2 linked regions of the Saccharomyces cerevisiae S288C genome follow. The main gene of each other region encodes a partner of the protein of the gene in region 2 in a complex. Each region holds a gene or a part of one and is shown on either strand. Other genes may lie near its edges. The genes, in order: RNR1 and RNR4. A codon is read from its position in the direction of its gene.

Region 1 (5,054 bases), on a different chromosome or scaffold from region 2:
TGATAGAGCAAAAATTGCAAACGCTGCCAAAATTGCTAATCCCGGTTGTTATGCTACTGGTTCGCAATTAACTATTTCTCCGTTAACAAAGTATATCAATGGTCTTCCAACTGTGTTTGGTGTTTCAGGGTATTCAGGCGCGGGGACGAAGCCTTCTCCAAAAAACGATCCCAAATTCTTGAACAATAACTTAATTCCTTACGCTTTAAGTGATCATATACACGAACGCGAAATCTCAGCTCGCATTGGGCACAATGTTGCATTCATGCCCCATGTTGGGCAGTGGTTTCAAGGTATCTCTTTGACCGTCTCTATTCCAATAAAAAAAGGTTCCTTGTCTATTGATGAGATCAGGAAATTATACAGAAATTTTTACGAAGACGAAAAGCTAGTACATGTCATCGATGATATCCCACTGGTTAAAGATATTGAGGGCACCCATGGTGTAGTTATTGGTGGTTTCAAGCTGAATGATGCTGAAGATCGTGTAGTTGTTTGCGCAACCATCGATAACTTACTTAAAGGCGCCGCTACTCAATGTCTGCAAAATATTAATCTTGCTATGGGTTATGGAGAGTATGCTGGTATCCCTGAAAATAAAATTATTGGTGTCTGATCACTGTGTATAGTAGATCTGCAGCTCAGTCACATGAGACATTAACGTATATAAATATATAAATATATATATATCCATTAAATAACGAAGTAGGACATGGTCTAAAAATAGTGCTTCTCATGTATTGATTTTGAGTAGCCATAAGAATAATTATTGATTTCAAGATCTTTGATCTCCTTACATCCAAAATTATAATACCACTTTATGGTATCACGACATCACCACAACAGAGAAGGATTGCCGCATTTGGATATCGTAAACAAAGGCGTTACCATAGAAATGTACTGATTGGCAGAATTACTCTTCAGGAGAATCTTTCATACAAAGGAATTCCATTGGGGAAAATCTCGTTACCAAGTCAATGCTGAACTTTCTATGGCCTTTGTTTACTATCGTTAATTATTTTACGACCACTTCTGGGTAGAAATATTTCGTAGCCCTGGAACGAGCTTGTTTACGCGTTTTATCCCATTATATGGCACCCAAATCAAATTTAAAAAGAAAAAACGCGTAAACAGTGTCGGGTAAGTTCATCCTCTGTTACTTTAATTGCTTCTTTTTTTGAAATTCTAAGTAAACGCGTCATTTTGATCCTCAGGACACAGAAATCCTTGCAGAATCTTATTGGGTGTTGAATAGAGGACGCGTAAAAACGATATGGAAATTTTTTTCATATAGTGTAGAAAGAATAGGTTGGCGTAGGTAGTTTCGTGTTTGATAGAAACCTCCAACAAAGTCTGCAGCTCACGTTTTAGAATAACAAGTTTAGAGTTTATCTTGTTGCCTTTGTTAAGTCAGTACCATTGAATAAAAATTATATAAAGGAGCTAATATTTCATTGTTGGAAAATTACTCTACCATAATTGAAGCATATCTCATCCTTTTCATCCTTTTCAACGCAAGAGAGACACCAACGAACAACACTTTATTTGTTGATATATTAACATCATGTACGTTTATAAAAGAGACGGTCGTAAAGAACCTGTCCAATTCGATAAGATTACCGCTCGTATATCACGCTTATGCTATGGTTTAGATCCAAAACATATCGACGCCGTTAAGGTCACCCAACGTATCATTTCTGGTGTCTATGAAGGTGTCACAACAATCGAACTAGACAACTTAGCCGCTGAAACATGCGCTTATATGACTACTGTTCATCCAGATTACGCCACCCTAGCGGCCAGAATTGCCATTTCTAATTTACATAAACAAACCACAAAACAATTTTCTAAGGTTGTCGAAGATCTTTATAGATACGTCAATGCTGCTACTGGTAAGCCCGCTCCCATGATCTCTGATGATGTCTACAATATTGTCATGGAAAACAAGGATAAATTGAACTCCGCAATTGTCTATGACAGAGATTTTCAGTACAGTTATTTTGGTTTTAAAACTTTGGAACGTTCTTATTTACTAAGAATCAACGGTCAAGTGGCCGAACGTCCACAACATTTAATTATGAGAGTCGCACTAGGCATCCACGGTAGAGATATCGAGGCTGCTTTAGAAACGTATAACTTGATGTCTCTAAAATATTTTACTCACGCCTCTCCAACGTTGTTCAATGCCGGTACTCCAAAACCTCAAATGTCCTCTTGTTTCTTGGTTGCCATGAAGGAGGACTCTATCGAGGGGATTTACGACACCTTGAAGGAATGTGCTTTGATTTCCAAAACTGCTGGTGGTATTGGTCTACATATCCATAACATTCGTTCAACTGGTTCTTACATTGCTGGTACAAACGGTACTTCTAACGGTTTAATTCCTATGATTCGTGTTTTCAATAACACTGCCCGTTATGTTGACCAGGGTGGTAATAAAAGACCTGGTGCGTTTGCCCTTTACCTGGAACCATGGCATGCTGATATATTTGATTTTATTGATATTAGGAAGAACCACGGTAAAGAGGAAATTCGTGCAAGAGATTTGTTCCCTGCTCTATGGATTCCTGATCTTTTCATGAAGCGTGTCGAAGAAAATGGGACCTGGACATTATTCTCTCCAACATCAGCTCCTGGTTTAAGCGATTGTTACGGTGACGAGTTTGAGGCTCTATATACCCGCTACGAGAAAGAAGGTCGTGGTAAGACTATCAAAGCCCAAAAATTATGGTATTCCATTTTGGAAGCTCAAACTGAAACTGGTACACCTTTCGTTGTTTACAAGGATGCTTGTAACAGAAAATCTAATCAAAAAAACTTAGGTGTCATCAAGTCATCAAACTTATGCTGTGAAATTGTTGAATACTCAGCTCCAGATGAAACTGCTGTTTGTAACTTGGCTTCCGTTGCCTTACCAGCATTCATTGAAACTTCTGAGGATGGTAAGACTTCCACATACAACTTCAAAAAATTACATGAAATTGCTAAAGTTGTTACTCGTAATTTAAACAGAGTCATTGATCGTAATTACTACCCTGTTGAAGAAGCGAGAAAATCCAATATGAGACATAGACCAATTGCTTTGGGTGTTCAAGGTCTCGCTGACACTTTCATGCTGTTACGTTTGCCATTTGATTCTGAGGAAGCCCGTTTGCTAAATATCCAAATCTTTGAAACTATTTATCATGCCTCCATGGAAGCTTCTTGTGAACTAGCTCAGAAGGACGGTCCATACGAAACTTTCCAAGGATCTCCTGCTTCTCAAGGTATACTACAGTTTGATATGTGGGACCAAAAACCCTACGGCATGTGGGATTGGGACACCTTAAGAAAAGATATCATGAAGCATGGTGTTAGAAATTCCTTGACCATGGCACCAATGCCTACTGCATCCACATCCCAAATATTGGGTTATAATGAATGTTTCGAACCAGTCACTTCCAATATGTACTCCCGTCGTGTCTTATCCGGTGAATTCCAGGTTGTGAACCCTTACTTACTGCGTGACTTGGTTGATTTAGGTATTTGGGATGAGGGTATGAAACAGTATCTGATTACACAAAATGGCTCCATTCAAGGCTTACCAAACGTTCCACAAGAATTGAAGGACTTATACAAGACTGTTTGGGAAATTTCACAAAAGACTATCATTAACATGGCAGCCGATCGTTCTGTCTATATTGATCAATCTCATTCTTTGAATTTGTTCTTACGTGCCCCAACTATGGGTAAACTAACAAGTATGCATTTTTACGGATGGAAGAAGGGATTGAAGACCGGTATGTACTATTTGAGAACCCAAGCTGCATCTGCTGCAATTCAATTTACTATTGATCAGAAGATTGCGGATCAAGCTACAGAAAACGTTGCTGATATTTCCAACTTGAAGCGTCCATCATATATGCCTTCCAGTGCAAGCTACGCTGCCAGCGATTTCGTGCCCGCAGCTGTGACTGCAAACGCAACTATTCCATCTCTAGATAGCTCCTCGGAAGCTTCAAGAGAGGCATCTCCAGCTCCAACAGGTAGCCACTCATTAACTAAAGGAATGGCAGAATTAAACGTTCAAGAGTCTAAGGTAGAAGTTCCTGAAGTACCTGCCCCAACTAAGAATGAAGAAAAAGCTGCCCCCATCGTTGATGATGAGGAAACCGAGTTCGACATTTACAACTCTAAGGTTATAGCATGTGCTATTGATAACCCAGAAGCTTGTGAAATGTGTTCGGGTTAATGAGGGCTAAGTTTTTATTTCTTCAATTCTATTTATCAAAATTTGGGTGTTTACTTCGAGGTGTAATTTATATTTTCTTTTGTTTTCTCTGATAAAAAAATTGGTTTCCATTCTAATGCCAAGCTAAAAGGTACCTATATATGTTTACTAATTATTTTTCTACTTTGCATATATACATAAAAAAAGTCGAATAATTTAACATGAACATTTTAAGCTGTCCTTGTAAGAAGGCCATGATACAGATTCCCCCCTGCCCCGAAATGGGGTCTAGGCAACATTGTTCTATAAAGGAACGCAACTTTATGTGGCAACATTAAAGCAAATACATATCTACTTGTGAAGCCAAAGAATTGTAATTAAATAGCACTCATTATTATTTTTGTCTTCTAGTTTATAGTTGAATATACCATCTTTTTTAGATTCCCAGGATGCGCCTATATCGTTCTTCAATGAGAAATTAGCGTTTTCTTCGTTGAGTCCTTCAATGTTCAACGTCGTTACCGAGGCAATATATTTATACAAAGAAGAGTGCTTTTCAAGTTTTTCTAGGACCAGTTTTATAAGAAGGTTGGAAGTTGATTCGGTCGATAAATTGATTTCATTGTCATCTTTTAAACTATCATAACTTTCTTGAATTAACGTAACTAGTTTTCTTTCGGGCAGAGGAGAGTTATCACTCCTTCCATCCTTTATTTCAATCTGCATACTCATTTTTTTGTTGACTTTCGTAATCACTTACTTTCACTTATCCTAAATAATTTACAGTGCGTTTTGTAAAACTGCAAGACGGTATCCGCTAATAGAGAGAAGAATACGTATTTTC
Region 2 (3,609 bases):
ATCATTCACATTCATGAGAATGCTGCTATCGCTTTCAGAGGAACTTCGGTTGGGTGACAGATCCATGGCCTGGCCATTGTTAATTGAATCATTTTCAATATTTTGTAAAAAATTATCTCTATCAGCTGCCATACAGTATACGTAGCACTAGTATCGCTTGAATTATTCGTCCATAGGGTGCAAGTTACCTCATCCATTGTTGCTATGTACCTCTATCTGTATTAACTTCGAGGTAGTAAACAAATGGGTGGACCGTATTGTGACTCTCCGGGTAACAAAAATATGTTATTTAAATGAAATGACCGGGATGATGGTACTCTCTGAATCTTTCCCTTATCTACCTACAAGAAAATGGCAAATATTGTCATAATAAATATAAAAAAAAACTGTAGTTTCTTTTTAAATTTTTCTACTTAAGTTTAGTTATACTGTACCTAGGTATATATAAATATATATAAATAAAAGTGGCCAAGAATAAAAGAACGCACCCCGTCGTTGACTTAGAAGTCATCATCAAAGTTAATTTCCTTGGATGGGGTAGCGGACTTAGACATGTCACTGGCCTTTTGGTAGTCGGAAACCTTCTTTTCAAAGAAGGTGGTCTTACCAGCGGTAGCGACATCCTCCATGAATTCGAATGGGTTGACGGCGTTGTAGTATTTTTCGTTACCGAAACCTTGTAATAGACCGTCAGCGACAAATTCTATGTAGGTGTGAATGCTCTTCAAATCCATACCAAATTTTTCTACTGGCAAAGAGTTTGAGTAGTATTCCTTTTCAATTTCCACGGCTTCGGTAATGATTTTTTCAATGATCTTGGGGTTTGGCTTGGTTCTCAAATGGGCAAATAGCAAGCATGAAAAGTCAGTGTAGGCACCTCTGTCTCTACAGATGTTTCTGTTGGCCATTGCTAAACCTGGCATAATCTTTTTGTCAGTCAACCAGAACATAGAAGCATAGTTACCAGCTTGGAAAATACCTTCCTTTGCAGCAAATGCTACTAGTCTTTCAGCATACAAGCTGTCATCGTTGGAAATCCATCTCTCGATGAAAGCAGCCTTATGCTTGACTTCAGGCAAATTGGCAATTTCCTTGAATAGAGGGATGTTCTTAGGGTCCTTGAAGAAGGCATCAACCATCATGGAGTAAACTTCAGAGTAGATGTTTTCCATCATAATCTGGAACCCGTAGAAACTCTTACCTTCAGGGTTTTGCAATTGGGCAGAAAAGTTTTCGATCAAGTACTTGTTGACAAGGTTGTCAGAAGAAATGGACAAGGCTAACAAGTTACCGATGTAGGTCTTCTGGTCATCAGTCAATTTTTGGAAATCTTCAGTGTCCTTAGCCAATTCGATTTCTTCCGCAGTCCAGAAAGAGGCTTCAACCTTCTTGTAAGCAGCCCAGATTTCGTGGTATTTGATAGGGAACATCACGAATCTACGGCTGTTTTCCATCAAAAGGATTTCATCCTTTTCAGCTTCTTTCATATCATGACGTTCTTTTTGGAAAGTCTTCAAAAATTGGTTATGTGCTTCCATTGTAATAACTAATTGTGTGCGTTGCGCGGGGTTGTGTGGCTCAAAAAGATCTGTTTTTGTATTAGCAATTTTTTATTTCCCTTTTTAAATGAATTTTTTTTCTTTCTGTTTCGAGACAAGGCCTTTTGCAAAAAAAAAAAAAGTAAAAAAGTGAAATTTGATAGTGTAAGGGGACAGAGGTGGGGTCAGAAACCAATGTATCTATTGATAGTCTTTTTTTGATCGAAAAGCCAAGAGACAAAAAATGAAGAAAATGAGAGATAAGGAATGAAACTTTAGGAACATTGAAGATTCAATCGCCGTTTTTATACGCCAGAGCTTCATGAGACCAAGGAAGGAACGGACGTCGTCTACCGATTACAGTAAGCAAAGAGGATGGTGTTGCCACAACAACGCCCATCGGGAAGGCAAGAGACGCTGTGGTGAACAATAACTGCCAAAACGTGGTTCTCGCACGCTGAAAAGCGCGTTCTCGTGCGCCGCTTTCAGTGTGCTAGAACTTGCACTGTCCGGTTTCCGGTGCTTGGTGTTGGGTGGTCGTACCTGCTAGTTCCATTGGTGCGGTGTATGGGCGGGTACCCTCAAAAAGGGAAACGAAGGTAGGCGCACGGTGCTTATTAAGCTCAGAGGCGACCTCGCAGAAGGGGGCAGACCACACAAGCGGTGGAGGCGCTCCAGATATTCAGTGGAGTGGGGCTTGCTCATGTTCTGTTGTTGGTTTTGGATAGAAAAAGAGCGGGTTGAATAGTTTGCCATGGCAACCACTCTGGAAGCGAAATCACATAGACGCGTAAACACTCACACACAGGATATTCGTATAGCAAGGTACTAGTGGCGACACTCAGGTGGTCCTCGTTGCCTTATCTCCAGATTCCTCAATTTCTGTGAAACGTAAACATTATGGGAATAGTCTAGACGCGTACTTCATTTTCTTTGTTTCGTGAAAAGTACACTTTCCCGTCTTCGCCGGTTCCCTTTCTTGCCTGAAATGCTCGTTCTAATGGAAAAAAAAAGAAATAAAGGTGGGCCTGCCCATTAGCAGGAAATTGGTACTTAATTATTGAAAAAAAAATTATTGGTTGCTAAGAGATTCGAACTCTTGCATCTTACGATACCTGAGTATTCCCACAGTTAACTGCGGTCAAGATATTTCTTGAATCAGGCGCCTTAGACCGCTCGGCCAAACAACCACTTATTTGTTGAAAGCGAGCGCGGTACAAGTAATGTTACCTCATCTGATATACAATAAAGGTGGAGCGCCAATATATACGCATTTGACTGTTCATAATTCATTGAATATAATTTATTCCTTGTTAGTACAAAAGGGTTAAACAGAAAAAGACGTGACGTTGTAACCGAGAGGATGGTAACACCGCGGTATCACCCACTCGCCCAGCCGTTAAATCCAATCATCCGAATAAAATGTTTGTCCTTGCTAGTTTGTCCTGGTGATAAAAGCCATGACCACTTTTCTTGGAGCCTGCATCTGTTATCTCTCCCGTCGATAATGGACTTTGCACCGGTGTATTACCCGCAAGAATTCTGATAACGTTCAAGCTAAAACAAAACTGCTAAATGAGTTCTGAAATGGCATTTATGAGTACATATGATAGATTTGCTATGTATCAAACCTGGAACTGGCGCTAGCGCTATGGTTTCACTTCCTCATTAAACCATACCCTTGACGATTTGACAGGTCGCTACAGATTCAGAAAGAGATCATATCAATACAACAAATAAAATATAAGCGAATAAAGAGCAATGTCTTTCCCCTTTAGTCACATTACTAGCCAACGCTAATTCTTGATCTCCTTCCTCTTGTTTCCGGTGTATCTTAGTTTTCCTGGCGTTGCCGAAGAGTAAAAAAATCCTAGGTCCTAAGATTTATAAAATCGACAAAAAGAGGATTCAAGTAGGATATCTGTCAGTTCAAACCAATCAATCTTTTCTCTCCAACAACAGTTTGAGCTTATTTAATCAAGAAAATGGGTCTATCATCTATCTTTGGCGGCGGTGCACCATCACAACAAAAGGAAGCAGCCACTACTGCAAAGACAACCCCAAACCCTAT

Evidence for each region.
Region 1: the proteins of RNR4 (region 2) and RNR1 are in contact, whole or in part, in a crystal structure (PDB 1ZZD), measured with the Saccharomyces cerevisiae proteins. Residues at the interface, in NP_011696.3 of Saccharomyces cerevisiae: Asn340 (codon at 521), Phe341 (codon at 518), Asp342 (codon at 515), Asp343 (codon at 512), Asp344 (codon at 509), Phe345 (codon at 506); in NP_010993.1 of Saccharomyces cerevisiae: Glu343 (codon at 2,591), Ser691 (codon at 3,635), Gln692 (codon at 3,638), Lys693 (codon at 3,641), Ile696 (codon at 3,650), Leu716 (codon at 3,710), Met721 (codon at 3,725), Gly722 (codon at 3,728), Lys723 (codon at 3,731), Thr725 (codon at 3,737), Ser726 (codon at 3,740), Met727 (codon at 3,743), Phe729 (codon at 3,749), Tyr730 (codon at 3,752).

What each region holds. Positions count from the first base shown.
Region 1 is NC_001137.3:297,386-302,439, forward strand, and holds RNR1 (ribonucleotide-diphosphate reductase subunit RNR1), read left to right. Parts: upstream 1-1,564; coding exon 1,565-4,231; downstream 4,232-5,054. Other genes in the region: ARG56 (bifunctional acetylglutamate kinase/N-acetyl-gamma-glutamyl-phosphate reductase), read left to right, coding at 1-616; TDA2 (Tda2p), read right to left, coding at 4,562-4,942.
Region 2 is NC_001139.9:854,764-858,372, forward strand, and holds RNR4 (ribonucleotide-diphosphate reductase subunit RNR4), read right to left. Parts: upstream 1,539-3,609; coding exon 501-1,538; downstream 1-500. Other genes in the region: OKP1 (Okp1p), read right to left, coding at 1-132; protein translocase subunit TIM13, read left to right, coding at 3,524-3,609. UniProt on the Saccharomyces cerevisiae protein: Provides the precursors necessary for DNA synthesis. Catalyzes the biosynthesis of deoxyribonucleotides from the corresponding ribonucleotides. RNR4 is required for proper folding of RNR2 and assembly with the large subunits.